Elephas maximus indicus: one gene and its partner. The protein of the gene in region 2 binds, or shares a complex with, the protein of the main gene of each other region. Links are inferred from orthologs where the notes say so. Each region holds a gene or a part of one and is shown on either strand. Other genes may lie near its edges.

Region 1 (15,391 bases), on a different chromosome or scaffold from region 2:
AAGCTTCACACATATAAATTCCAGTCATCAGCAACAAGAAGCCTCAGATGCTGGTACTGTTGTTCCTGTTTTACTGATATGGCTCCCAGAAGCCACCAGCTCCTAAAGTGTTTAGTTGGGACTTGAACTGCTGCTGTCACTGGCATGGCAGGCACCGTGATCTAAGAGGGACATAGCACTGGGCCTTGCTCCAGGCTTTTGGGGCACTCTCACAGAGCCTCCTAGGGTCTACAGAAAGCCCTTGGTGAGGGGCTTTTAGGGGTGCAGCATCTTTGGAGGTGGTTAAGCAAGAGCATGGACAGGAAGGGAGGGCTGCCCAAACACAGTGGCCCCCTGGGCCAGTGGCTCGGGAGGAGTACCCGACTAACCTCCCTAAGCAGGGCTCCTGTGCTGCTTCACAGAGGGCCTGGGGGCAATATTTGGCTGGAGGCAGAGAAGAGGGGGGAGAAAGAAGAGACCAGCAATGGTGTTCAGAACCCCAGCCCCAAGGTCCACTTCTGGGAGCAAAAGTTCCCGCTACTCCACAAACCCCAAACTTGAGTCTAACCTTGGCCCCGGGATAGAAGCAGAGGCAGCCTCTGTGCCTTTCAGGGGAGCTCCGAGCCCCCATCTCAGAGGCCAAAGCCTTGCCTAATTCAAGCTCTCAGATCCCCTCGCCATGCCTTCACACTGAGGCACCATCTCTCAGCCACGCCACACGTGTACAACCTCCGCCGGAGTTTAAATCCGGGCTCTGACCCGTGCTAGCCTGGTGTCATCTTGGTCTAATTGCCGACTTTCCTAAGCCCATTTCCTCATCTGAAAAGCAGTAGCTTCCTTGCAGACGCAGCTGCTGTGATGACTAAATGGAGCTAGTTCATGTGGCAGCGGTCAGCAGAGAGCAAGGCGCAACGCCAGCCAGGGCTCCACTTTCCTAATCCAAGTCGAAACAACACTTTCCTGCTTACACAGCTCTCCCAGGGAAACTGAGGCACAGATGTGAAGGCTCAGCTCACAGCCACGTAAAGACAACGGTGGGGTGTGAACTGGCCAAGCCCCTGCCTCCTGGGCTGGGGCCTCCATCTGGGTGTGCTTCCTTGCTGCCCACAATGAGGATCCGCTGTGGACCTACTGTGGGAAGCCTCTGCTCAAAGGCACTGCCTGGGCTGTGCAGGTGATCAGCAGCCCTGTGGGCCAAGGGTACCTGCCTTCCTGGGCCCCAGATGGCTTTATCAGTCACAGGGGCAGCACTTAAGAATGAACACTGTCCCCAAAAGTCACCTTTCTCTACTGACAGAGGAGAACATTACCTTTAAAGTCACTCAGGAGATGGTACAATAGGCAGAGCTGTCCGAGACCCCCCCCAGGCCCCTTTTCCCTGTCGCTCTTCTCAGGGCCTTGTGAAGAGCCCAGGCTGCATCCTGACCGCACTGGGGCTGTGTGGCCCTGCCTTATCTTTGCAGACAGAATTTCCTGCACACATTCAGAACCACGGGGAAAAAGGAAAAAAATCAGGAGGGGCCAGGCAGACAGGGGTGGGGCGGGGTGGGGTGGGGTGGCGGGGGGATGGAAGTGGGTGTAATTAGCAGTTCTCACATCCACGCACCTCCAAAAGCCTGTTCGATCGATGCACAGGGAGCCAGGTCGGGGCCCACGTTGCTGCAGGGCACTTGCCCAAGACCTATGCTCTGGGTTGGCCCCATCTCTTAGAGGGAAACACCTGCTTTCCACCTCGTTGGCAGGTGGGGGGCCTGGGACTGTGCCAACTCTGACTTCCTGGGAAGGGGGTGAGTGGCCAGGTCCACGAGGGGTCTTTGCATGACCGATGGACAGAGTATTCAAGGAAGAGAATTGCACCCATTCTCCCGTCCACCTAGTGGTCACCACCCCCAGGAGTCCACACCCAGCACAGCCAAGAGGTACCACGCAGTGGTCATCCACCCATAAAATACTGACCCCAAACATATTCCACGGCGAATCCCAATTTGGTAACTTTTAGTGAAATATACTTAAACCAAGACCTTTGGGAGATAAGGAGGGGAAGAAAAGAATCTAGTAAACAAGCACTTTGCTCTCATTTCAAGCAGGAAACTCCTCTGCCACTCAGTGAGGCAAACACCTTACTCTGCCTTCTCCTCCTGCAAATGATGGGGTGGGGGACTGCCTGGCTGCTTAGGGGCCCAGAGGAGCCACACCCTACACCTCAGGGGCCTGGGCAGACCCTGAAGGGCAGAGCACTAGCCATGCACTGCACGCTCCTGGTGGCTGACTCCGCCACTGTTGTCATCTGCAAAGGCACGTCCCCTTCCACAGCCCGGCCACAATCCAGTGCTGTCTGGATTCGCTCATTCACTGACTATGGGGCGCACTGAGACATCACTGCCGCTCCTCCCGAAGTCCTAACCAGGAAAGGACGCAGCAGGGACAGGACAGTAGAAGGGTGGATCCCAGCAGGGCAGGGTAGCGCATACATCAAGACTTGTATTCAAAACTTCTCAGCCTGCTAAGCTCTGGACTCGAGGCTGAAGTGCCAAAGATAGCTCAGTGGGGCTTCACAGCACAGGGTGGAAAACAGCTGTTTCTGAGTTCCTTTTTATGAGGCAACATGGGCCGTAGAACCCTAGGCCTGCGCGTATTCTCAAATACCTTCGCTCCCTGCACTGAGGGCCAGGCTGAGCAGCCTGCAGCATTCTGGGAAGACAGGCCTCCACCTGTGGGCTACTGTCCCTTATCTGAAGATGTGTACTCACCACTGAAGGCCTAATGCCTGCTGGGGCTAGAGCATTGTCCAAAGCCCCGAGGTGGCTCGGCCTCTAGCTGATGACCTCTATCTGATGGCCATGTCAGGAGAACCCAAGTCCACGTCCTCCTCCAGGTCATACCCAAGATTAACTCCATGGAGCCTCAGCTGTTGTGGTTCTTTCTTTTGCCTTTTACAAGTAACTTATTCCAATTTTCTAGCCTTGTTTTACCAAATGACAGGGCTTTTTTTGATTATCAGGTACGTTCTTAAAACCACGTTGCAACAGTAATAAAGAACAGTAAAAAAGAACAAACATAGCGATTGCTTTTTTTTTATGAGGTGTTCCAAATCTACTCCCTTAAACTCCCAGGAGTGACATTTATCACCAGGGTGGGGAGAACCTAGAATCTTAACTGGTGACTTTTAAACCCAATTTAGATCTGCAGATAGAGCACTTTCAGTGTGCTCACAGCCTGGAGAACAAAAAGCCCTGGTTTCTCGGCACCCGGAACAGGCCCGCACCCCCACAGAGCCACCAGAGAGAGACAAGGACATCCCCCACTCCCAATCTCAGGCTGCCACCTTCAACTGCAAAGCTCACCACTGCCCGGTGGCCAAGAGGGAAATAGTCAGAAAAGATTTGCAAGTTAATTATAAACAAATCTGGTCACTTGCCCTTAACCCCTCCGAGTTTCATCTTATTTCACTTTCATGTCTGCAGCTGCGAAGCAGCCTCCACTTCTGAGGAGGCCAGGTACCACCCTGCTGTCTTCACGCTCCCCAGGAGAGCACTCAGGCCCCACGCTGCCCTTCTTTCTACCAAAGGGGAGTTCAGGCTCATCCTGAACCAGATAGTTAGAAAAGCCTGGCAAAATCTGGACAGGTGTTTCCATCACTGGACTGGGCCTGTGCACCACTGCTGGTGCTGTTGGTTGCTGTCGGGACAACTCCAACTCATGGCGACCCTGTGTTGGCAAAGTAGAACTGCCCCTGCAGGGTTTTTTAAGGCTGAGACCTTTTGGAAGGAGATCACCAGGCCTGTCTTCTGAAGCACCTCTGGGTGGGTCTGAACCACAAATGTTTCGGCTAATAGTCGAGCACTTCAACAATTCTGCCACCCACAGACTCCGGTGCACCAATCCTCAGCATGAAAACCCTATGCCACGCACAGCACCCAGAGGCTGCTGATGACCACCATTTAAGCAAATTTCCACTAGCTCCTCAACGTCTAACAGACCTCTGCTAGCTTCTCCTTTTGGCTCTGGAGGTCCTGCTCACTAGGCACGTACACAGCTTTGGAGCTGTGGGCTCACGCACAGCAGTGCTACCTGCTGGACCTGGAACACGGCTATGGAGCAACTCCCTTTGAGCCCACACCTCCCAATTCGCTCCCCTTTCCAGGTGTCCCAGGGGCCACACAAAGCTGGCTGTGGCCTCGCCGTGACTGTTCTTGTGAGCTTGGCAGAGGGAGTCAAGGAACAAAGTAGCTCCTGGCTCTGTGTCCCAAGCACTGTGCAGACAAAAGGCTCCTGTCAAATGGTTTTTCACTTGGGTACACTGAAAACAAGAGCCCAGGGTGGGAAGAAACCTCCAGGGCAGCACCTGGTCCATGTCCCAGACGTCAAACAGAAGCTGTCTGACTAGACCAGGTGCTGGCGGTGGTCAGGATGGGTTACCTCTGCTGATGCGCTGCTTCTCTCCGGAGAGGATTCCGGGAGTGTCGATGATGCTTATGCTCTCCAGGACAGGGTTAGGCAGCTGGGCGCACATGAACCTGCAGGCAGCAAGAGCCGGGAAGAGAGGGGTCAAGGCCACGTTCTTGCTGCTCACAATGTGACCACAGTGCTTTCTGCACGCCTTCATCGCCACCTCTGGCTTCCCTTCCGAAAGCGAGCAACTTAAAGGTCATTGCCGTCGTCTTCATTTCCAGGGTGGCCAGCACGTGTATGGACCTTCTGAACTGGGAACCCAACCAGCAGCCTGAAACTGACCCACATCAGCACTTCCCTGCATTAGCTTTTCCCCCAGAGTTCGAGAGTTCAACTCTCAAGTTGCTGACTTGTTAGTGAAAATTCCACTAGCCTCGGTCATCATTCAACTCAGAAGGGAAATGGGGGGGAGGGGGGGTGACACTAGGACCTCAGAATTCCATACTGAAATTTTCAACCACTTGGCTAAATTTCTACACACCAAAGAGAAATGGTCCCTTCCTAATGCTTCTGGGGCCAGGTCCAGCCCTCTCCTTTCACCCAGTGGCTGGGGGTGAAGGGACGGCAAACGGCTGGTTGATAATGGGGTAGGGAAGCACAGACACACCATTCTCTGAAAATCAAAGCAGGCCAAACAAGAACAAAGCCACGGGGAGGCCTGCGACTCATGGGTGAGGGCTTAGTTGTGTGTGCCTGAGTTCCACACTAAGCTCAGAGCGGCCAGGCTGTCCAAACTGATAGCTGGGATTCTTTACTGGACACAAAAGAGGGTCCTTTAAAAACTTCTCTGAAAAAGGTATTGTGAGCAAAGAAAATACTGACTCATTGTCTGCAGGACGCAGACATGGCCTGACCAACAGTGGGGAGGAATCTGAACTGTTTAGTGTGGCTGCTGGCCCCATCCCCCAAGTGACCAGTGGCCCACAGGCTGGGAGCAGCTGGCCAGGGTGAGAAGTGCCGTTGCAAGTGCCAACAGAGCAAAACCAGCTGACCCGCACACGGGTGAGCAAACCTTGGACCTTCTCGCTAGCACCAGCAGCGAGCCGACTGTTGCATGCCATAAACAACTATGCACCAGGAGAGAAGGTAAAATAGAAGGATGGGCAGGCGAACTAGCTCTGAGAAGCCACACACATCCAAAAGCTTTGGAAGGAGCCTGGCGAGCAAGTTCACACCAGGACAATGCAGTGGCTCTGCAAAGGCCAGTGAGTGCGGCAGAAAACACGACCGGGAGTGGGCCGCGTGGATGGGTCCCGTCTTCACCAACAAGGACACAGGGATCTCTTCTCTTACTACAAGTGAGCAGCACCAGTTACGCAACAAGGAGTTTTCACAAGACTCTCTTAGGACACCCTGATCGCACCCTGCCTAGGTCAGCCCCATTAGGGCAGCCACTCAGGTCTAAAGTCTGGAAAGTCAAGTTCATGATTCAATGGGTCTCTTTAAGAGTCTGGGAGAGGCTGTATCAGCCAGAGAAAAGCCCCCTTTGTTGTGCCCTCCTTCCCCAGCTGCACTGTGCACCACACATCCTGACACAGCACAAGTGAGCGCAAACCCCCCAGCCCAGGCCATTAGTGGTCAGGGACCCTCTGGAGATAAGGTGACGGCAGGAGGGAAACAAAAAGTGTGGTGGTCGGGTCCTGTGGTCATCTAAGTGCCTGTCGTGGACCAAGCGCTCCTGCCAGCTCTTTTTTGCATAGAAGCAGCCATAAGCGGAGGTTGGCTATTCAAAGGCCAGGTGGTTGGTGTGATCTCAACAAGTCACCTGGGCCCTCTGAGCCTCAGATTGGACAACCAACAGGGCTAGATAAAACTCTAGGTCCCCAGATTCAGAAAAGGGCCACGTGACCTGCCTCTGCCTTCAAAAAAGGTGTGCTCTTGCACTCAACGGTGAAGCCCTAAAGACAGCAGAGGCAGGTGTAGTTAACCTTCCTTCTAGCGTCCCAAAGTCCTAGATGAAAGTAGAGACCTCAAGTGTGGAATTTCCGACATAGCAGCCAAACTTTCCACCCGCTAAGTAAGGCTTCCACCAGCTGACTGTCTGAGCCAACTGTTTCTCACGAAGCATCATGATTCTAAAACTCAGGGAAATTGGAGGAAGGCCCCAGGCTAAGTGGACCTGCCTCTCTGGGGCTTCAGTCAGAAGCGCCTCTCAACTCTGGCTCCAGCACTCAAATCCTGAGCGCCATAAAACAGGACAGCTATAAAACACACCTGAAAGCGGCAGAAAACCAGGGAGAAGCCCATTGGTCTTCTCTGGGAAAGGTCAGCTCTGTGCCCAGCGGAGGCCTGGCCACTGGCTCCACTCAGAGACAGGCTAGCCCGCCCTGTGGGGCTGAACAACTCTGGAAGGAAAGGAATGTGATCATACAGGGCGGAGACCTGGACAGCAAGATTCAAGGATTCTTTTCTAGGCTCTTCCTCGGACTCAGCCTTTGAAAGGCACGTGAAGTCACTCCCTGAATGGGACGTGGGAGAGATGGCAGAAGCTGTGTCCTTTGGTATGTCCTGGGGGGGGGGGGAGGGGGAGGGTTCATGACCACTGACAGCACTGTCCAGTTCCTTTACAGAAAGGTGAGCACCCACTGTGAGGATGAGAATCTTGGAGGACTACCCTCATCGTGAGGAAGCAGGTTCTACCCACTGAACTGGAGAAACTGAGGCCCAATAGTTTAGGGGGCCTCCTAGAGAGTCTACATTAGGACTTAGGGACTGGATCCCATTCCTGGGTCCCACCGCCTCACGCACTGCAGATTGTTCCAGAGCAGCCTCTGGGAGAAGTGTCCATCTGTCTGCTGGGGGCTGCCCGAGTGCGCGGGCCACAGCAGAGCTTCCCTGGCCCTCCACAAACCACGGCCCCAGGGGAGGCAAAGCAGAAACACACACCACACCAGCCCAGAGAATGGCTGAAAGTTACATCGTGTTCCTCCATAACGCTTAAGAAACAGACCCTTGAAGTAAGTCAAGGGGGAGGGGGGAAGAGATTTGAATGAACTGGGTGCATGCCGCCCAGGGGAAGGACTGGGGGCAGGAGGTGGAGACCTAGAACAGGAGGACAGGAATCTGTCACCTTCCCAGCGCGGGCCCTGGTTGCCAGGGAAGTGGGGCTGGGGTCTGTGGGAGGGTTTGGGAGTTAAACTGATGACCTGGACAATTCTGGGGGCGGTAGAAGCCGGGGAAACTGGCGACGCCTACTCCCAGACCTCGGGAGTGGGCTTTCTGTGGGACGCGACAGGGGCTCCTGTCCCAGGGAGAGGTTGTTGAGGGGTCCCTCCGGGGCCTCGGAGACAAAGGACGATGGGGGCGGAGGCCGAGGGCGGGTCGGGTCGGGGCCCGAGTGCGCGATCTGGGCCCTGGTCCCCCCCGCCCCCCGGGATCGCGGGGTGGGGGGAATACCTGTTGAGGAAGGCGTTGCCGAAGGCGTTGAGCTTGCGGAAAGGGCGCCGCGGGTCAACAACGAGCGCGTTGCCGGGCACCACGCCCTCGGTGGGGCCGTGCATGACGGCGATGAAGGAGTCGGTGGTGGGCTCGGGCCCGATGCGCATCCCCGGGAAGTCCTGCTCGATCAAGTGCCGGATGAAGGTGGTCTTGCCCGTACTGTACTGGCCCACGAGGAGCACCATGGGCTTGTTGTCGAAGTCGGCGTCCTCCAGCGCCGGCGAGTGGAACTCATGGAAGCGGTAATGCTCCTCCAGGGGCAGCAGCTTCTGCGCGTAGAGCTGCCGCAGCCCCTCGGCCACCGTCTGGAAGAGCTCCGGCTCCTTCTTGCGGCGGGCATCCTTGCTGACCCAGCTGAACATGTTTCTGGACACGGGGCTGGCCGCTGCAGGCAGATCGGTGGCTGAGAGCGGGACGAGGGCCGGGGCCGAGGCGAGGCGGGGCCGGACCTGCCGGCGGAGGGGCGGCGGCGGGGCCGGGGGCGGGGGCGGCCCACACTGCGCAGGCGCACGCCACGGCCCGCGGAGTCGCCCTCTGCAGAGTGGAGCGCGCGCCGCCCCGTGCGCCCTTTATAAGGCCAGGCCCCGCGTTCTGGAGCGCGCGCTCCCGCTGCGCGGCACAGCGGAGACTTGGGAGGATAGGGGAGGAGCCGTTCCCGTCCCCGCCCACGAACCCGCGCCACGTCCTCCTCTTCCCTGCCTCCCATTGGCCGGTTCCAAATCTCGCGAGCCCAGTTTGCCCCGCTCCTTGGCCCTGGCCGCCATAACTGGTGCCGTGGCAACCGCACCTGTTTCGCCCCGCCCCTAGTAGGGCGGCTCGCGGAAGTGCTGCGGTTGAGTAGGCGGAATGTGGGAGTCGGGCGCGAGGCAGTCCCCAGGGGCTGCCCGCCCTCCAGCGCTCGTAGACCCCTCCACCCGGCCTCAAGTTTCCGAGAAATACTCAGACATCCCAGCTCTCTGAATACCCAACCCATCCCCAGTTTGACCCCAGTTTGATCCTCCTTCTTCCACCAAAAGAATCCTCGAAGTGTCAGAGGACCCTGGGGCCACAGCTCCTCCTTTCCTGCACTGCCCTTTGTTGCTTCCTCGTCTTGCCCCTGCTTCCATGACTCGTAACTCCCTCTCATCCCCTCACCTTTCGTCTGCCTTGGGAGACGGAGAACCAAGAAAGGAGTAGTAGGGGAAGGTGAGGGAGGGGAGAATCCGAGGCAGAGTGGTGTCTAGGAAAAGAAACACGGGGAGGGAGAAGGCCGAGGAGAAAGACAGACCAGCAGCCAGAGGCCTGACCTCCCCTGAGGCCAGCAGGCTTGGAATTGGGAGATGGACACAAGGAATGGAGGATATGAATGACTTGCACCTGAGTAGGGAGAAGAGGCCTGTCTGAAGAGGCTGCAACTGTGGAGGGTGGGCCGGAGGAGGTAAAGAGGAAGTCGAGGCCCTCTGGCCACTTGAGTTTTGAGGAAGTGAAATCGGAAATTCCCTATGTGGGAAAGAGGGGAAATGTGGGGCAACAATGAAATCTTGTGGGAATTTAGGGGAATTAAAAAACCCAAATACTTCCTCTTTCTTCTCAGGGTCACCACCGTTACCATCTTTTAGTCTGGTCGGACTGTGGCTGTGACCCCCCCCCCTTACCAGTTTCTGGCCGTTCCATTAGGCTTGTCCCCCCGTCATCACCTCTGGTCACACATAGTCTCTCTTGGCTGTCCGGGCTGGTGAGAATCTTCAGTAGGTGAGGTCAGAACTTTGGGGACTGTGATTGTTACGTAAACAGGACACCAAAGTGTTGTGGGGTGGGGGTGAGCAGAGTCTCCTGGACAGATCTAAAATGAACCTGGGGACTTGAAGTCCTTCAGACCATCTCTCTGACTTCTTAGGAGATGTGGAAACCTGTAGGGCTGGGTGCCTATATCCAGGAAGAAAGTAGGCTGGGCAAGAGGCTAAGAGGTAGGCTGGAGTCTGGGAGAACTTGAACCTGAGAAGAAGCAGCATATCTTAGGGGAGATGAGTCAAGTCAGAATCAGAGAGGGCAAGATGGGAGAGTTAGTTACCCACCCCTTGTTACACTTGTGGAGCAGGTATTCCTGAAAGAAAGGCCTCAGTACCTTCTGAGGGATGTGCCGTTGTGGGTCTGTTTTTCTGCCTAACCCCCTTTCCAATAAGATTCTCTCTGCCCTCTCCATGCCCATGCATCCCACCTTGTCTCTCAGCCTACTTCTTCCTTTCTCTTGCCTGTTCAAGGGCAAATTCTTGCTTCTTGCAGCCTTCTCCCAATGCATAATTGATACCATGAGAAAGAATGAGCATATGAGGGGCAGAGTGGAAAAGGAGCGGGGCACGCAGGAAAGACTGGGAGGAGATGCTTCCGAGAAGTATCTCTTGTACCAGATGACAGAGCAGGCCAGTAAAATAAGAACTGGAAATGTCCCCTGGAGTTGGCATGATGAAAATCATGAACCAAGTAAGTGAGAACACTTTGGGGGGATGGTGGGAACAGGATGAAGTAGGGAACAGAAGGTGAGAAGCAGGAACAGAGAAAAGAAATCTCACTCAGAGGTGATGATGGGGTGGGGAGTAGCCAGAGAGGGCTGCAGGGTGAAGGACTGGTGTCATGGCTGAAGAGGTGAAGATATTCTATGTTCCTTTGCAGAGGAGGAGCCTGAAGACAGGGAGATGGACTAGCCAAGGAGGAAGGAAGGTCTTGGAGGAGCAGGGTTGGCTGGGCAGAAGGAAGGAAGGTTGGCTTTATACGGGGAGAAGGGCCCAGAGACTCTCAGTCTGGGCCTGGAGGGATGGGGACATGACATTAGGGAGTGGGGCCAAGCATGTTCGACAAGGCCTTCTACCTCTCCAGGTTGCAGAAGGCTGGGTTGGCGCCAGGAGGGGACTGAGCCTTTGACAGAACAGACTCCTGGATTTTTCCAGACAACTCCATACCCCTAACATACTCCCTTTTTCCCAGCCCATGGAATAGGAAAGGGAGGTTTGGTTGCCCCTTGCTCCTGGCCTCATTGGGTGTTTGACCTCTTCATCGCCATCTTACTGCCACGGCTAGGCATGGTCTTCTGCAGATAATCAGAGCTGGTGCCTCGGGGCTCCTGGGATGGGCCACCCATTCCTTTGTTCTCTCTCTGAATCTGCCCTTTTAGAAGCTGGTTCATTCTGTGCTTCCAAGCAAATGTCTGTGCAGTGCAGCTGACTCTTCTTGAGCCCCCAGCAGCCTGCTGGACATGTCCTCTTCCAGGCCCCACCTCCACTGCAGGCCCAGAACCCCACCTGGCCCCACTTACCTCCGTAGTCTCTTCTGGTCCTTGGTATGTCACCCTTGGCCTGTTATCACAGCCTCTGATGAGCCTCTCGCCCCATCTCTTTACCCTTCCAGAATAACCCTCCTGATGTAGCTTCTCGCTTTGCAAAAGCAGGCATTTCTCCTCTGCTCTGCAGAGGGTGAAATTGAAGGACGTTTATGTTGCTTCCCATCTTTTGCTCTCACAGACAACTCTGCTGTAAATCATCTTACACGTATATCATTTCTCAAATATGCAAACATGTCTTAGAACAAATTCCTGAAGTTGAGCATTTATAATCTTGGTAGATGGCAACAAACTTCCTTCCTGGAAGTTGAACTAATTTACAGTCAGTGGACTTCCTCTAGACTCAGGCCTGCCTCGTCTGTTCTCACCACAAGGCCCTCTGACACATTGAGAATATTCTGGGATAAACAATGTGGTATATATACATATATCTTAATTCCCAAGTGCTGCAGTAAGAGAAATACCACAAGTGGGTTGCTTGAAGGAACAGGAATTTATTTTCTCGAAATTTAGGAGGCTAGAAGTTTGAATGCAGGGCACTGGCTCTAGGGGAAAGTTCTCTGTCTTTTGGCTCTGGAGGAAGGTCCTTATCTATTTTTAGCATCTGTCCCTCTGTTTCTTGGTGCTCTTCATGTAACCTGGCGTCTGTCTTCCCCAATCTGTGCTTCTTTGCTTCTATGTCTAATCTGCCTTTTTATATCTTGAAAGTAATTGGCTTAAGACACCCTACACTGCAGGTAGGGCCTCATTAGCATAACAGATAGAACCCTAGTCCCAAATGGGATTACATCTGCAGGCACAGGGGTTAACATTTACAACATATTTTGGTGGGCCACAGTTCAATCCATTAACAACACATGCATGCCCAAATGTGGATATAACTTGAAAACATTTTGTTGAGCTAAATAACTCAGCCGCAAAAGGACAAATAACTGTATGATACCACATGTATGAAGCAAATATATAGAAACCAAAGATTATTAGTGGTTACCATGGGTGGGAGGGAGGGGGAAAGAGGGAGTTTATGTTTGGGGGGTGTGGTGCAGTGAATTACTTGATATGGCCTTTCTAGCCATAGTCTTTGTAACTGCCACCAAATGACTAGGTGGGACTATGCAAATGAGGTGCATGGAACCATAACAAGGGGATTGGTCAGTTTTGCCACCCTGCTAGGCTTAAAGAGACAGAGAGAGAGAGAGATGGCAGCAGTGGAACCTGGAGACCCCTACAGGAGAGGGGGTGGTGGGCTTCCCAGCCCACAGGACTAGAAACCTAGCTGAGCACCTTCGGGCTGAGGTTTGCTGCTGGAGCGGGGTGCCTCCGGGCACTTACTGGCAAAGCTAAAAGAGGTTTGTAACACTTGATGGAGCAGGGCAGAGGCCAGGTGAGCAGCTGAGGGGCCAGGGGCCCGGGGAGAGGCCTGCCTGCGGGCACGGCTGTGAAGAGGCTGTCCCGATGGAAGAACTGTATCCTGAGCGTTCCTGAGCCTGAATTGTAACATGTTGCTTCCCTAGTAAACCCCATAACTGTGAGTATGATCTGGGAGTTCTGTGTGGCTATTGCAATGAGTTATCAAACCGAGCAGAAAAGTAGAGTGTGCAGTGGGAGGGACAGATAGTGTCAGAACTGGTGAAAAGCCGGCAAAGGAAGCTAAGCCTGACCTCTACCTCATAGGAATCAGCCTTGGGCTGTTGACCTTGTTTCTCCCTCCCCCTCGCGAAGTTAGAGGAGGTCAGATGCCTCTGCCAGGCCATTTGTAGGGGGGACATTGAGTTTACACTAGTGGCGATGGTGTGTTTCAGATGCGGATGACGATAGTGGCAGCACAACATGAAAAATGTAATCAGTGTTACTGAATTATAAATGTGGCAGTTGTGCTATTGAATGTTTTGGCGTGTATATGTTCACTGCAATAAAAAAAAAAAAAAAAAAGCTAACCCGTTGTTGCTGTTAGGTGCCGTTGAGTCAGTTTTGGTTCATAGCCAACCCGTGTACAACAGAACGCTGCCTGGTCCTGTGCCACCCTCACGGTCGCTGCTGTGTTTGAGCCCCTTGCTGTAGCCACTGTGTCAATCCATCTTGTTGGGGGTCTTCTTTTTTGCCGACCTTCTACCGAGTGTGATGTCCTTCTCCAGGGACTGGTCACTATGAGTCGGAATTGACTTGATGGCAATGGGTTTACACATTAAAAAAAAAAACAAACAAGAATCTTCCGGCCCTTGGGCCTTTGTCCTTGCTGGTCCTCTTGTCTGGAATGTTCCCCCTCTGAAGTATGCAAGGCTCTCTCCCTCATTCCATTCCTATCTCTGCTTTGGCTCTCGTCTATAAAACAGGAATAAAAATACAGATCACATAGGTTGAAATAGAATTGCATATGGGATAGTAATGTTAAATCTATTGCCTTCCCCCCTTCCTCCCTCACCCTCAGGGGAGTGCAGGAGTAATTCCGTCCCTGTCTGTGATCTTAGGCCCCTGCCTTTCTGCTTTTACTTGGAATTTCCTTAGCATTCTTTCCATCAAGGATTTGTAAAATATAGAGCCACCAGATTTTTTTTTTTTTTGGCATTCTCCTCAAAAGAGGACATTGAGGCTCCAAAGCAGGACCATCACCCAGGTTGCAGCCCGCTGGTGACCAGGAGCCTCGGGCGGCCCAGGCCAGACTTCCTGGACCAGCCTCAGAACCCAAAGGGTTTGCCTCCAGCATGGTGCTCTGAGGGGCCCGCCCCGGAGATGCAGTTTCTGGGCTGGTCCAGAGAAGAGCCAGGGCCCAGGGTCTTGAATGAGGCAGTTGTTCGATGGGCTGAATGAGGCCACGACGATCCCAGCAGCCCTGGCATCGACCCACCACAGTTGTCACATCTCCCCAGAGCCCTGTGTGCTGGGAAAACTCAGCCCAATAACAGTGAAAACAACAAAATGTTCCTGGGTTATTTATAAATGAAACCCAGGCTGGGCTTACATGTATGGTCCCTTGACTTTGTCCAAGGAACTCAAAGGACTGGAAGGAGGAGGTCTCTCGGAATGAGTTTCCTGGGCCTCACAGGCGTGGCACCTAGGGTCTGGGCAGCTTCCCTGTATTGTAATGCCCCACATTGTGAAAACGGCCTCCTTTTTTTTCACTGTTGTGTTTTGAGTAGAGCCACTTCTGTTCAGTGGGAGAGTTTTGTTAAATGTGAACAAACCATTTATTTCGTTTTTGGTTTCTGCCCTGTTTCACTTTCCTGGGTCCAGGGCAAGAGACTGAGAAAGGGTTCCAATATTCTCCTTTTATCTCAGAGGTAATGCCCGTTCCCTCTCCTGGTGTCTTCTTTAGATTCACAAACACACCTGCAGAGCCAGGGGCTGGGGCATGGTTGCATCTCTGGTGGGGGCTGCTCTCTGTCAGCTGCCAGAGAAGGGTCTCCTGTTGCCCCCTTCCCTCAAAGCAGTCTGCTCAGTCTCATCATGGCCTGATCTAGAGAAGTGCGTAGTCCCTGGGTGGTACAAACAGTTAACACTTTTGGGTGCTAACTGAAAGGTTGGAAGTTCGAGTCCACCCAGAGGCGCCTTGCAAAAAAGGCCTGGAGATCTACTTCTGAAAAGTCAACCATTGAAAACCCTAAGGAGTACAGTTCTGCTTTGACACACACGGGGTCGCCATGGATTGGGGTCAACTCGATGGCAACCAGTTTTGTTTGTTTTTAAGAGAAGTGTCTACAAGGCCCCAAAGACAACTTAAAAAAAAAAAAAGATGGAGTTTTTCTCCAAATTTGGCAGAAAAGTTGGGCTGAGAAAAGCCAAAACACAGTCTTGTCACTGGGATGTGGACCGGCTTGTTCTTGCCGCTGAGAAAGTTTGCATGTGCCGTTGTTGTGTGCCTTCATGTTGACCGTGACTCATAGTGGCCCTGTAGGACAGAGTAGAACTGCCCCATAGGGTTGCCTAGGCTGTAATCTTTACATGAGCAGATAAACAGGACTTTTCTCCTGAAGAGTGGCTGGTGGGTTAGAATTGCCAACCTTTCGGTTAGCAGCCAAGCACTTAACCGTTGCTCCACCAGGGCTCCTCGTTTGCGTATAAGCATGGCTTTTTGTATCTGAAGACAAATGGATTTGGTCAACAGATCAGTTTTGCCCAAATAAGGTAAAGAACTGCAAGGTCTGCTCCTTTGCATGGCGAAGTCTTCGGAGGGTGTGGGGCTGTGGGCCACCTCCGCTGGCCAGGAAGGCC
Region 2 (14,914 bases):
CCCATATCCCCTAGCCTGACAGTTCTCAGACTTGAAGGTCACATTTAAGGGAAGACAGCCCTACAGGGCCACTTCCCCACTGGAGGGCAAAAACCAGGGAAGTGTCTGCAAACAGGAAGTAAGGGTGGGTGCCAGGGAGATGAACTCACAGACAGCAGATGAACTGAACCTGTTTTATCTCCTCTGACCTTATCTTGTTCATTTATTGCTTTACGTGTGTGTGTATGTATGAAAATATATATAACAAAACATATGCCAACTCAACAATTTCTGTGTGTACAATCCAGTGACACTGATTACATTCTTCAAGTTGGGCAACCATTCTCACTATCCTTTTTCAAGCCGTTCCATCATTAACATAACCTCAGTGTGGCTCACATGTTTACCATCTGCTGCCCCTGGGAGACTCTGAGCACCATAAGGGCAGGGATGGTGGTCACAGCTGTATCTCGGCGGTCTAGCCCAGTACCCTGAACAAGACAGGCACTCCACAAATATCTCAATGGCTGAATCAATGGCTAAGTGAATGACTGATATGCTGCCTCCCCAGCTGCCTGTTTGTAGCTCAGAAAAAGAGTAGCAAACCTCCCAGAGCCTCCATCCCTGAAGGGCTAGGCACCCCCTCACCTTGGCCAAGGCTGGAAAAGTGGTTGTAATACTGCGACACGTAGGTCATGATGCTGAGGCAGTCGGGGACTCTCATGGAGACCATGTCATTGGGGTCCAGAAGAGCAGGGATCCCCAGCTCCTTCTCGGCCACCTCGAAGGCCTGGTGCGAGAAGGTAGAGGGATGGGGATGGGGCAGAAACAACCACAGCAGGAAGAGGAGGAGGCAGTGTGAGTGGGTGCCCCCTGCTGAAGCCCAGCTCCCACCAGAAGGATGAGGGGGACCAGCGGCAGGGGCAACTATGGGCTCCCTCAGCTCTCACCCACCCTGAGCCCAACAAGATGGGCTGGGGAAGGAGGAGCCTGGAGCTCAAGGTGTGGGGGAGGGGCAGCCGGGGCTTTCTCCCAGCCCCCAGCCCGGTCACCTACAGGCAAGGGCAGCTCCCAGGGGTGCTGGGTCCAGCAGCCCCTGCCTCAGCAACTACCCTGCAGGACCCACACCTTGCACACACATGCGTGCGTGCGCACACACCCACCCACACACCCACACCCCCCCCCCCCCCCCACACACACACCCGCTTTTGGGCTTCCATCTGTCAGGGGACTTACCAAGCGGTTATTCTCAAAAACATTGTCCTTGGAAAGTGAATCGAAATCTCTGCAAGAGGCAAAAGAGAGAAGGATAAGTCAGAAGGAGGACCTGTGAGCAGGGGCTGTGGCAGGGCTGTGGGGTCAGGACAGAGCACAATAGAGGTGGTATCAACCTGGCCAGCAGCAGCCTCAGCAGGGGGAGGGATCTGTGGGCGGCAGAGGAAGAAACTGAGGCAACAAGCACTTGCTCAAAACTGGGGCCACTTGCAGGAACAGGATGAGCTCATGGCCCCTGGAGGCATTCAAGCAGAGGGGGCGGAGCTCAAGCCTAAACTTTCAAGTTTAGACTCTAGGATTCTAGCTGCCTTTCCATGGAAGCCAGCGCCTGGGCTCTAGGTCAGTGGCAAACACAAAACTAAGCCCACGACTAACCCAGTGCCGTGCAGTCGATTACAACTCATAGCGACCCTATACGACAGAGTAGAACTGCCCCAAAAAGCTTCCAAGGAGCGCCTGGCAGATTCGAACTGCCAACCCTTTGGTTAGCAGCAGTGGCACTTAACCACTACGCCACCAGGGTTTCCACGCCCACGACTAGTGCTTGTAATAAGAGGGGCATCTGATTGTTGACCTCACATCGGGCACTGCTGAGCTCCTCTCCTGCATTCATTTTACTGTCACAGCAACTCTATTTACCCCATGTTACAGATGAGGACACTGAGGCCCAGGGAGGGGAAACCAGCCAGGCTGGGAACTGAAATTCTGGCCCTCCACTGCAGGTCACAGTCCCGGAGGAGCCGCGACGATTCAAAAAATCCCCAACAGAGCCCCGACCAGAGATGAATGTATTCCTTTTAATGGGGCCAGGAATAGAAGAACAAGTTTGAACCAGACTGGAACTCGTACATATTCCAGACTGCTGGCACTGAACGGCTGGCTGACCCCGCCGGTGACATCTTCCCTTGGGGGAGCAGGAAGGGGTTCTGGGATTCTAAGCCAGGACAGGTGAGAGGAGGCAGGGCCTGGAAAGGGGGGTTCCCTGGGGATGGGACAGCTGGCAGGCCTGCTGGCTTTATTTATCCCCCTCCTCCCCCTCCCCACGCTAGGTTACTGGAGTGGCTGACACCAGCAGAGGCAGCCCAGCCTCCCTCCCAGCAGCCTCCAGGGTGCACGGCACAGCTTTGCCTTCTACGGCTAAAATCGTAGCCTCGACTGCCTAGGATGGGTGGGTCCAAAGCAGTAGCGGACAGTGTCTCCAAGGCCCAGGGCCCAGGCCCTGCTCTTCCTGGCTGGTATGACCTTGGGGAGGTCAGCGGTCCTTCCAGCCCTCTGTAAACTGGGGAAGGCACCAGTACCCCCTCCCAGACTGGTGGAGAGGACAGAGTTGAGGCCTCACAGATATGAGGACGTGGGGCAAGCACCACCCCCTCCTCCCAGCCTCTACCCCTAACATTTTCTCAGGCCGAGTCTCAGTACAATGAACCTTGGGCAAAGGCAGGCAAGGGCAGCCTGGGAACCTCTGAAGGAGTCTGGCACCGCAAGTCTGGGTGGACTGGGGAGACAGGAGGAGATGGAACTCTGTGTGAGTGTCAGCCCCCTTTTTGCCATACCTGGCCGAGCCCCTTTCTTCTCCCCCAGCTGCCTCACTGACTCCCCACTGAGCAGCCTAGGCCTGGACTACCCCAAGGCTGGCCTTGGCCCTCAGCAGTGAAAAGAGCCCGGACCCTTGACTCTAGCCACCCCAATTCCCCATCACCCCCGGCTGGATTTCTGTTTTACCTTCAACCCCGCCTCTCACCTCTGGTCCCCCACAGCTGTCCTGGGGAAGGAAGGATCATGGAAGGAGGTGCTGTTTAGAATGCACTCTGGGCCAGGTTGACTAGGTTCAAAGCCCTGCTTTGCCACTGAGAGTGTGACCCACAGCAAGTTAGTTAACCTCTCCAAGCCTCAGGCTCCGGATCAGGGGAGCTATGTGGGGGGAAGAGAAGAGGAAACACCAGCCCAGCCCCCAACAAAGGCTGGTTCTGAGCTTAAATGAGACAAAATCAACATATCTCTGCCCCTTTACTCCAGTCTCCCCAGCAGTGCTCCTAGACGGCCAGGGTCATATTTTGTTTGCCCTGTGCCCCTGGCACTCCACACAGTTCCTGGTACTTAGACAAAAACCAAAAACCCACTGCTGGAGAGTCGATTCCAACTCACAGCAACCCTAGAGGACAGAGCAGAACTGCCCCATAGGGTTTCCAAGGCTGTAATCTTTACAGAAGCAGACTGCCACATCTTTCTCCTGTGGGGCAGCTGGTAGGTTTGAACCACCAACCTTTTGGTTAGCAGCCAAGCGCTTTAACCACTGCACCACCAGGGCTCCTTAGTAGGCACTCCCTAAGTGTTTGCTGAATGAATAAATGTTGAAAACCATGTGAAAACTGCATAAGTCTCTGGGAAACTACAATTCGTTTTCCTCCAACTTCTTCCCCACCCCGACCTCAGTCCCTAAACAACATCTAGCCTTTGGTAGCTCACATTATTTTTTGAGAATTTTCAAAAGGAGGGAAGTTCTTTTTGGCTCTGGGGGAAATGAAAGACACAAAACAAAACCAACAAACTCCCTTTAAAAGAGCTGGAAGAGCACAGGGAGTCCTTGGGTGGCACAAATGGTTAACATGTTTGGCTGCTAACTGAAAGGTTGGAGGTTCGAGTCTATTCAGAGGAGCCTCAGAATAAAGGCCTGGTGATGTGTTTCCGAAAAATCAGCCATTGGAAACCCTATGGAGCACGGTTCTACTCTGACACACATGGGGTCCTCAGGAGTCGTAATCAACTCCTTGGCAACAGGTACTGGTAAAGGTCATACACATAGATACCAGGATATGCGGGGAGGAACATGGACCAGCCCCTCACCACCAAAGCAGGATATTCCCCAGCAGAGGCCTAGGCTACCACTGGGTTCAACTGTGCAGGGCCCACAGCTCCAGGAGCTTGAGAGGGGGTCTTGCTTGCCCCACTTTCATGGAGATCCTCTCCTACCCATCTGTAAGGCCCGCCCTATGCCTTATGGGAGACCTGGGCCTCAGTGGCTCTCCTGCACAATGAGCTGGCAGCCCAGGCGCTGCCCTGCCTTGCAATGAATGCCTGGACACGATTCTGGCTTTCCTCTCAGGAGGGGAGCCACACTTTCCTCCATGCCTCCTGTGGCCACACCGCTCCCTTGCTTAAAACCCACAGGGCTCCCTTGCAGTGAGTGGACATAGCCACCTCCTTGGTCAACAAAAAATGTCATGAGGAATCTGGCCAGCAGCACCTCCTGACCCTCCCTGCCTGGCGCAACCCACTCCAGCAGCACTGCCTGAGGCTCCACATACCTCACACCTCTGCACCTCTGCTCAGGTGGTCCCTCTGCCCAGAATGCCCCTCACCTAACCACTGCCGTATCATTGAAGACTCTGTTCTCCCTTGGGAAGCCTTCCCAGCCTGGCCCTCTGAGACAGCACTTATCACATGGAATTATCATCACTGTTGATGCACCTGCTTCCTCACACAGACTGTGGGAGACTGTGTGGGGTTTCTGTCTGCTTGTTACCTTGGTGGGTATCTCCATTACCAGGCTCAGTGTCCAGCACAGAGTAGTAACTCTACAATAAATAGTTGTTGAATAAACAAAGAAACAAAACACTCTCATCACTCACCCCCTCTACTGCCTAATACTACTACTTAACAATAACTAATGCTAACTGAACACTTATTATTATCTCATTGAGTCCTCACAACAGCTCTTTGAGGTAGGTCTTATTGTGATCAACCCTACTCTACAGATGAGGAAACTGATGCCTGGAGGGACACAGTCATTTACCCAAGGTCACACACCTGGGATATGGAGAGGCTGAACACCAACCAGGCAGCCTGCACTATGATGCCAACAGGCTCAGGTACACCAAATGGCTCAGCTTGACACCCAAGTCCCTTCATACACTGGCCCTGTCCCCTGCCTCCTGCCTCACTGCCTGCTCCCCAGCCAAACCAAAGCCTCCTTGAGCCCTCCACTCCATTCCAACCCAAGGATCCAATCCCAGTACTCACACCCCTAAAACCTCCCTCAGGGCCCGACCCACACCACCCACAGCTATTGTACCAACCAAAAACAAAAACCAGCACCATCAAATCCCTGAGGCAATCCTTCCCGTCTGTCCCTCCTTTATCAAAGCCCTTCCCAGGCTGCTGTCTAGCAGGCAAAGACACAGACTCAGAGCCCTGGGAAGGGCATTCCAGACAGGGGCGCCGTCAGTAAGGGAGGCGAGGACCATGACTCCTGCCTCAATTTGCAGATGAGAGGCCTGAAGCCCAAGGAATGGTGGGCACCAGACAAGCATTCACTCAATTTTATAAAGGAATGAATGAATGAAAGGAAGAGGTTCCAGGGCCCAAGAGAGGAGCTGAGATAGATGCCACAAGTCAGCTGCTCTGGGCTCTGAATAAATTTTCTCAAGAGAACCTCAATGGGCAGTTCGAGGAGGAAAGAACAATTTCACAGTCTGAAGCAGCTGGTTGCAGTTTGTTCCCAAGGCCACTAAGCCCCATTTTTCTTCCCTGACACATCACCTTCCTGCCTCACTGAGAAGGGTTGGAGGCACACACCTGGGGAGGCGGGTCTGCGTCCTAACTTGAGGGGAGGGGGTGTACATTCATGCATCCAACAATTGTTAACTAGGGTCTCTGCCAAGTACCGTGCTCGTGTCCTGTAGACAACGATCTCCCTGGGAATCAGACGTGAGGGTTCACTGTAATCACAGAGCAAGGGGGTGCCCACAGAGTGAGCAGGCCTCAATGCCCCGGGGAGGGCCAGCAGCCCTAGGGGGAGCCTCGTGTCCCTGTTTGAGAGGAGAAGCTCAAGGAGTTGGGGGGCTGCGTTCCTGGGGCGGAAAGTCTCCTGTGGGCGGGGTCAGCGCCCCTAGGCTGAGGGCACCAGCAAGGGCTCCGGTGCAGAGTTCCAGCGGGCGGGGTCAGAGGCTTAGTGGGGCGGCGAGGGGGCCCTGGGTTGGGGTCTCAGTGACCCGCGGGGCGTTCCGCGTCGGCCGGTAGGGTCGGCGTCTCCGTCTCCGTCTCCGTCTCCGGGGGGTGGTGCCTGTCACCGCCCGGCGCCGCGTCACTGAGAGGGGCGGGGGTCCCCAGCCCGGGCCCGCGCCGCCCGCCCGCCCTCGAGCACTCACAGCAGGTCAGGCCGGTGGCGGTGCAGGATGGCGCAGAAGGCCAGGCCGTCCCGGAAGGAGGTGCTCAGGTCGCGGATGTCCACGCCGCGGTAGCCCTCGCACTGGCGGCGGCACCAGGCCAGCAGCGCGCCCCGCGGCCCCGCCATGGCTGCGCGGGGCTCGGCCCGGCTCCGGGCGCCCCGGGCTCAGGCCTCGCGCGCGGGCTCCGGGCTCCGGGCTCGGGCTGCGGCTCCGCGCGGCGCTCAGGGCCGATTTCCGGCTGCGGCTCGGCGCGGCCCTGCCCGGCACGCTGGGAGCTCCGGGCGCCGACCTGCGGCCGTGGGAGAGGCGGGAGGAGGCGGGGCCGCGCTCGGGGCCCGGGCTCGCTCCCTGTGCGCCCGCCCGGACCTGCCCGAGCAGCCGCGGGCGGCCGCTTACTCACCGCCGCCCGCTCCCCTCATTGTGGGCCGGCCGTCGGCGCAGCGCGGGCAGCCCTCCAGCCGGCCGCCACGCCCGCGCGAGGCCCGCCCGCCGCCGCCGCCGGGGAGCGGAGGGGGCGGTGACCTGGGCCCCACCCAGCGGTGGCTCCGCCCCTAGGCGCGGACCCCCACAAAGGGAATGACACCCACAGCCCCTCCCTCGAGGATCCCAGTCACCCCTTCCCCTCGATCATTCCCTTTCCCTTAAAGAACTCTGGGACTGCCCCTCCAGTCCCCTCACCCACCGCAAACTAGCCTCTCCGCGCATAACTTCCTCCACCCACACCACCTGCACCACCACCCTGCCCACCTGGAACTCTCCTCCCCTCGGAAAGAGGCACCTCCCTCTTTCTACCGTCCTGCCTCTTTCCTCTTCTTTGGCCTCAAACCAAACCCATTGCTGTCCAGCCGATTCTGACTCAAATCGACCCTAGAGGACAGAGCGTAACTGCCCCATAGAGTTTCCAAGGCTGTAATCTTTAGGAGAGCCACATCTTCCTCCTGCGGAGCGGCTGGTGGGTGGTGGGTTTGAACCGCTGACCTTTTGGTTCGCTGCTGAACGTGTAACCGCTGTGCCACCCGGGCTCCCTGTTTGGCCTAAAAGGACCCGCGAATTCCCCATACTAACTTCTCTAATCGTCCCACACACACACACACACACACACACACACACACACACACACACACACCCCGCTGAGGCCTGAAGCTTTGGGGAGGCATTTTCCCTCACTTCAGGTACTTCCCCTGCAGAACCCCCTAGGGACGCCAGTTGGCCTCATTCTTTCTCACCACTCCACAACACCCTGGTCGTTTCCTCTTCCACAGTCTCCTCCCCTCGTAGCCTGTCAGGGAGATTCTATGCCATCCCCTCCCTCCTAGCGTCAGTCCCTTGTCCACTCAGTGATGTATTCAGCATCTGCCATCACAGACCCTGACAACCACCAAGTCGTACAGAAATCTCCTCACACCGTGTGTAGCCTCAGGGAATTGCCCCCATCCCACTGAGGCCTTGGTCCCCTTAGGCCCTGACTAGAGTGGTGGTGGGTGGGGCTCCCCCAGGACCAATGGGAAGCAGACCCCAGTCTGGTGGAGGAGGGCACTGGGGGGCCTTAAACTGGCCTTGGAACCTACCCAGCCTCATTCTCTACAACCTTTCCCCTCACCCACACACACACCCCTTCCCTACCTCTCCACCAGAAGCCTATCCTGACTTTCCAGGCCGATGAATCAGCCTTCCACTCACTTCCATGGTGGTGACATCACTCTGACCAGCACAATAGTTGGGATGGGGCTGTTACCCATTCCCCAAGGGGAGGAACAGAGTCTTAGTCACCTTTATCAACCCTCAACACTTGAGAGAGTGGAAAGAATGCGGATTTTGGCGTCAGACTGACCCAGGCTTGAGTCCTGGCATCCCCACTCTCAGCCCTGTGATCCTGTGCCTCCCTGACCTCAGTTTCCACATCTTAAAAATGGGGCTAACTCCTGCCTGATAAGGTGGCTGAAAGGATTAAGGTCATCACTTATAGGTTCTAACTCTTGATATAGTACGTACCTGGTAAACGTGTGGGAAATTGGATTGAAAACGTTTGTACCCATCTTGTCATCTGGACCATTGTGGGTGAATTATGAAGGAGAGATGCTGGCTTGGGGATCCCAATCCCTCAAAGGTCCTCTGAGTCCCAGTCTACCGTACAATTATGACACAAGGCCTGGGGACCACAGTGTGTTAACCTGGGCCAGCCTCATGCCCCTGGGCATGTCTCAGGTTGAAAGGCCCTCATCTTGGCCCAGAATATGGACTCCCAGGTCATCTAGGAAGGAGCTTTCTGGCCAGCCCTCTTGGCCTCTTTCCAGCCCTGAGCTACTACCCCCTGCCCTATCCCTTGGCGAAAAGCAGCTCCAAGAAACCAGGGTTCTAGGTGCCCTCAGTAAATCAGGAACTTGGGCTCAGGATCCTGAGACCAACATTGACCTTGGCCTTTGGAAACCATCCAGGACTTTTTCATTAAAACTCAGGTGGGCTTATAACCCTATCCCACCAGCCTATGGGGCTCCCTTCAGGTCCCTGAAGATAGCTCCAGATCTGCCCTTGATTGCCATCCCATTGCCATAATAATAGCTTACCTGGCATGTCCCTCTAGGCCTCCATTAGCCCATCTGTGGGCTTTGTCCAGTCATTACCTGAGTCAGCTCTCAGCACGCTGTGAGGTAAGGACCTGCGTATCCACAGCTGCATGACCGCAGGTAGATGACTCACCCCTCTGAACTCCCATTTCCTACCCTGGAAAGTGGAGATAGTCATCTGCCCCGCCTGTGTCCCGGGCTTGTGGACTAGTCAAGTGAGCTAATGGATTAAGAATGCCCTGCAGACTGTAAATCCAGGTAGAAGGTGGGTCTTTGTTGACAGGTGAGGACAGAAGCCACAGACAAATAGGCGGTCTCGGCCACTTGCCCAAAATTACGCCATAATTTCAGGATTAGGACTGAGGGATTTGGGCCCCTGATTCAGTGGTGTTTTGTTTTCTTTTTAAACTATCAATTAAGAAGTGAATACACTCTCCTTACCAAAATTCAAAAATAAAATAAAGCTAAATGTTCTGCTTGACTCCCCCTCAATTCCAATCTTTTTCTAAGAGGTAGCGGCAGTTGATTTGAAATTTATTCTTCCAGACCTTGTTCATGCATTTACATCCGAGCATGGATTCAACAAATGTTTATTGAGCATCTATTGTGGGCCAGGTGCTGGGGCTCCAGGGGACATAAGGGTAAACAGGACAAGGCCCCTGCCGTCATGCAGCTAACATTCTAGTGGAAAAGAAGCAATGAGCAAGTAATCAAATCAACAAAGATAACTCCAGATGGTGACAGTGACTAGGAAGAAAAGCAAGATGCTGTGATAGAGGATGATGGGGACAATCAGGGCAACCAGGGAAGGCCACATTTGAGCTGAAGGATAAGAAGGAGCCAGCTGTCAAAGATCTTGAGGCCGTACTTCCAGGGAGAGGAGACAGCCAAGACAAAGGCCCTAGGGGGGAAAGAGTCTGCTATTTTCAAGTACAACGAGGTGAACAGACTGGAGCTAAGTGAGGTCCAAGAGGTGGACAAAGAGGAATCCATGTAGGGACTTGTAGAGCTGGGAGATGGCTTTGCTCTCTGCTCAGCAGGAAGTCATTGTAGAGTCTTACGGGAGTGACACAATCTAATATTTTATTAAAGGTTGTTTTGGGCAAATGGACCTTAGGGGGACAAGAGTGGACACAGGGACACCAGTCTGGAGGCCACTGTAGTCATCAAGGCAAGAGATGATGGAGGCCTGGACCAGGGCAGGGCAGTGGGGATGGCAGTGGATGGACTGGGAACGTGTTGTGGGTGAGGAACCACAGGTCTCGCTGATTGATTGAATGTAGGCATGAAGCAGGAGTCAAAGATGGCTACAAGGCTTTGGGCTTCAACAACTGGGTGGATGCTGGGGGCCATTAGGTGCGATGGAGGAGAGGGACGAGGCACAGGGTTGCAGGATGGGGAAATGATTCCTCTGTATTGACCATCTGCACTGTGTCAGGTTCAGATATGAAAGAGGCAGCCCCTGCCCTCAAGTTATCCATGGTCCATTGCATGGACTTTTCAACTCTTAGCCTCCTTTGACATGAGCGACGAGTGAGGTTCCACAGGTGCTCGTGGTGCCTCAGTGCCACTAATAAACTAGGCCTCCGTCGTGGGCAATGCCCTGCTCCCTAACTGCAACTCCATACCTTCTCCCCACCCATCCTCCAAAAAGCAAGTTGAATGTAAGAGAGATGTCATTACAGGTAGAGCTCGAATCCTTTCAAATTTATTGCAAGATATATCATTCACACTTTTCTGTGCTTTAGCAAGATAATTGGAGCACATCCTGGTGAGGTACAGAGGCTCCAAGGTAACTCTGCATCCAGCATAAGAAACAAGAAAGTTCAGGGAACCACAAGAGTCCAGAGGAGGCCCCTGACCAGTCTGGGGTCAGACTACTGTGCCTTCGCTTACATTCTTCTTGCCAACATGCTGTGCGGGGAGGTGTAAAAGCAGGCTAAAAAAAAAGAACCCATTGGAGGTGAAAGAAGCTAACATTTAATGAGCACTGGTGGGATAAATGAGTGAGTAAATGAACAAATGAATGATCAGGACCTAGAGTTTACATTCCAGTCTCTGAAAAAGAACATCATATTTGGAAGATGGTCAGCAAAAATGAGGGAAGCCCTCCATGAGACTGATTGACACAGTAACCACAACTCAAATATACCAATGGTCGTGTAGATGGCGCAGGACCCACCAACGCTTCACTTTCGTATACATAAGGTCGCCACGAGTAGGAGCCACCTGGATAGCAACCAACAACAACAACATAGTTTACATTTATTTCCCCACACAGATCTCAAGGTAAGTTTCAGAAAGATAAAAAGGGTGAGGTCCAAGGAAGGGGATCTAGAGAGGGCCTAGGAGAAAAGAATATCATCATGCCCTGGCAATGTTCCACCCAGGAACCTCTGGCTTTTGTCTCTGCCCAGCTCTGTACCTGTTTAGAGATTTGTGGGCTACTTCTTACAGAAGCCAGAAGTCTTCAAGGCGTGGAATATGCATGTGTGTGTGTGTGTTCCTGGTTGGGGGAGGAGATGTTTGGATGGCTCCATTTCACCCACCACCCACTCTCTTTGTCTTGCCGGAAGATCCTGGACAAGGATGGCACCTTCCAAGGTTCCATGTCAACATCCATAAAAGTTGAAAATTTGCTCACCCTCTGATGCAGCAGGCCTGTGTCTAGGATTCTATCCTCTGAAATACTGTCCCAGGGGCCCCAAGATATACAAAGATATGTATTGTCCGCTAATGGCAAAGCGCTGGGAAGAATCTACATATTCATCAGTAGGAGTCTGGAGAAATCAGTTACTGCCCAGCCAGACAACAGAAAGCCACACCACTGTTAAAACGAATGTTGTAGAAATACATCCTCAAAAGACGTGAAAATAGCATACTGAGTAATAACAGGTATAATAGAATTCCATTTTTGTAAAACAAAAATTTAATATATATGTTGTATGTGTTTATGTACCTAAACACTTACGTAAATGTATATGGCATTTTAAATGTCAGGAAGGAAGGATATGCACCCCAGTGCATGAGGCTGGGTGTGGCAGACCTGCTTTTTACAAGCCATTATTGCTTGAATTTCCAACAACTTGCAAGTATAACTTTTTCTTAACAACAGCTTTATTGAAATATCTTTCACATACCATATCATTCACTCTTTTAAAGCATGCAGTTCAGCATTTTGATCAAAGGTCCATAGAAGAATCCTGATCAAAAGGGGGAAATTTTAGAACAGAATTTCAAATTCTAACACACCATAGATTTTCTGGAGCTATGGAGAGCGGATGAACCCCTGTGCAGTGCAGGGAATTACTTATTATGGCCCTTGTAGTCTTTGTAACTCCCACCAAATGACTAGGGGGGACTACGCAAATGAGGGCTTGTGGCCCACCAAGGGGGTTGGATAGCTTGCTAATGATATAAATAAGGTGCATGGCACCCTTGTGGGAGCTGGACCATGTAAATAAAGTGTATGGAACCCTAACGAGGGGCTTGGTCAGTTTTGCCATCCCACTAGGCTTAAAAGAGCCAATTCCAGAGCAGACGGGGACCTGTAGGACCTCACTACAACCAAGAAGAAAAGACAGGAGCAGGATATGTCCTTTAGGCCTGGGATCCCTGTACTGAAACCCTCACCGACTCAGGAGACAGAGACCCAAAGATGGCGAGAAGCAGCTGCAGAGAAACGGTGGCAGCAGAGGCAGGTGACCTGCAGGAGACCTGCGGGAGACAGTGTGTCTTCAGGCAGGAGGCTTGCTGTAGGAGTAGGGTCCCTCCAGGCCTTGGTGGAGCTGGGTTTGCCAATCCACGGAGCTAGAGCTGAGGGCCTTCAGGCAGAGGCTTACTGGCAGAGTGGGGTGCCTCTAGACACTCATCAGCAGAGCTAAAAGAACTTTGAAATACCCCAGCAGAGGAGAGGCCGAGGGGCCAGACAGAAGTGTGCCTGTGGGCACAGCTGAGAAGAGGCTGTCCTGATAGAATAAATGTATCTTTGGCATTCTTGAACCTGAATTGCAATCTATTACTTCTTTAATAAACCTCATAACTGTGAGTATTGCCTGTGAGTCCTGTGTGGCCATTGCAACGAATTATCGAACCCAGCAGAGGAGTAGAATGCCGTGGGAGGGAAGTTGGTAAAAAGGCTTGCAGGGTGGAAGCGTATCTGACCTCCACATCAAAGGAATCAGCCTTGGCTACTGATCTTGATTCTCCTTCCACCTTGTGAAGTTAGAGGAGAACAGATGCCCACTGCCACACCATTTTTACACCCTGAAACTATTGCCCTGAGAAAATGTTTAAACCTCAAACCGAAAATCTCCTTTGAAGTCTTCTTAAAACCGAACAATGGTTTAGCTTAACAGGTAAAAAAAAGGTCTGCCTTGAACTTATTATGCTCTTTTAAGAATTATCCATATGGAGTCAAATTGACAACAACATCTCAAAAGATTTGATAGGAACCTTAGGGGGCTGTAAGTTTATGTCAATGAGGGAGGAAGAACTCAGAAAAGGAGGGTGAGAATGGTTGCATAACTCAAAGAATGTAATTAGTGTCACTAAATTGTACATGTAGAAACTGTTGAGTTGGTCTTTGTTTTGCTGTGTATATGGAGCCCTGGTGGCATAGTGGTTAAATGCTCGGCTGCTAACCAAAAGGTTAGCAGTTCGAACCCACCAGTTGCTCTGCGGGAACAAGATGTGGCAGTCTGCTTCCGTAAAGATCACAGCCTTGGAAATCCTATGGGGCACTTCTACCCTGTCCTATAGGGTCACTAGGAGTCAAAATCAAAACTCAAAAGTGTTGGGTTTTGGGCTTTTTTTTTTTTTTTTGCTGTGCGTATTCTCAACAACAACAAAATAAAATTTAAAGAAAAAAAGCGTGCATTTCTGTGGTTTTCAGTATAATCATAGAGTGATACAGTCATCACTATCATCTAATTTTAGAATCTTTTCATCACCCCAAAAAGAAACCCCATACCCATCAGCAGTAACCCTCCATTTTCCCCTTCCGCCAGCCCTGCCTCTGAACTGTGGTGTTGGTGAAGAATACTGAATATACCAAGGACTGCCAAAAGAACGAATAAATCTGTCTTGGAAGAAGTACAGCCAGAATGCTCCTCAGAAGCCAGGATGGTGAGACTTGGTCTCATGTACTTTGGACAGGTTATCAGGAGGGACTAGTCCCTGGAGAAGGACATCATGCTTGGTAAAGGGTCAGCAAAAGAGAAGAAGACCCTCACCTAGAGGGACTGACAACAGTGGCTGCAACAATGGGCTCAAGCATGATGATTGTGAGGATGGTGCAGAGCCGGGCAGTGTTTCATTCTGTTGTGCATAGGGTCGCTGTGAGTCAGAAATGGCACCTAACAATGGCCTAACAGCCAGCCCCTGGCAACCATTAAACTACTTTCTGTCTCTGTAGATTTGGCTGTTCTGGACATCTCATATAAATGGAATCCTAACACGTGGCCTTTTGTATCTGGCTTCTTTCACTTAGAATAATTAGCAAATATAACTCACATAATTAAAAAAAAAAAACAAAACCGTTGCCGTGGAATCCATTCCAACTCGTGGCAACCACGTGTGTTTCAGAGTAGAACTGTGCTCCATAGGGTTTTTAATGGCTGTGATCTTTCAGAAGTAGATTGCCAGGCCTTTCTTCCCAGGCACCTCTAGGTAGACTCGAACTCCAGCCTCTCAGTTAGTAGCCCAGCATTTAACCATTTGCACCACCCGGGGACTTGTTACACAATTAAACAAATGAAGTAAAATGAGGATGTGGGGCCAAGTGAACTCAGCTATGCTCCCTCCTTAGTTCAGACAGTCTTGGACCACAGTACCTGTGGCCTTCTAATTCTAGGATCATGTTTTCTAAGCATCTGACTGTCGGATTCTAGGATTCTCCACGTTCCATGGCCCTGTTAGAAGAAGGCC

Evidence for each region.
Region 1: the proteins of MICALL1 (region 2) and EHD1 are in contact, whole or in part, in an NMR structure (PDB 2KSP), measured with the Homo sapiens proteins. The link is inferred for Elephas maximus indicus from reciprocal best matches to the Homo sapiens genes MICALL1 and EHD1. Residues at the interface, in NP_203744.1 of Homo sapiens: Lys422, Tyr424, Asn425, Pro426, Phe427, Glu428, Glu429; in NP_001269373.1 of Homo sapiens: Gly464, Ala467, Lys468, Met471, Asn478, Leu481, Gly482, Trp485, Lys486, Lys492, Asp493, Gly494.

The regions. Positions count from the first base shown.
Region 1 is NC_064825.1:128,036,822-128,052,212, forward strand, and holds the start of EHD1 (EH domain-containing protein 1), read right to left. Parts: upstream 8,364-15,391; 5' UTR 8,232-8,363; coding exon 7,828-8,231; intron 4,497-7,827; coding exon 4,399-4,496; intron 1-4,398. UniProt on the Homo sapiens protein: ATP- and membrane-binding protein that controls membrane reorganization/tubulation upon ATP hydrolysis. In vitro causes vesiculation of endocytic membranes. Acts in early endocytic membrane fusion and membrane trafficking of recycling endosomes.
Region 2 is NC_064822.1:181,793,200-181,808,113, reverse strand, and holds the start of MICALL1 (MICAL-like protein 1), read right to left. Parts: upstream 6,874-14,914; 5' UTR 6,548-6,873; coding exon 6,402-6,547; intron 1,265-6,401; coding exon 1,216-1,264; intron 770-1,215; coding exon 628-769; intron 1-627. UniProt on the Homo sapiens protein: Lipid-binding protein with higher affinity for phosphatidic acid, a lipid enriched in recycling endosome membranes. On endosome membranes, acts as a downstream effector of Rab proteins recruiting cytosolic proteins to regulate membrane tubulation.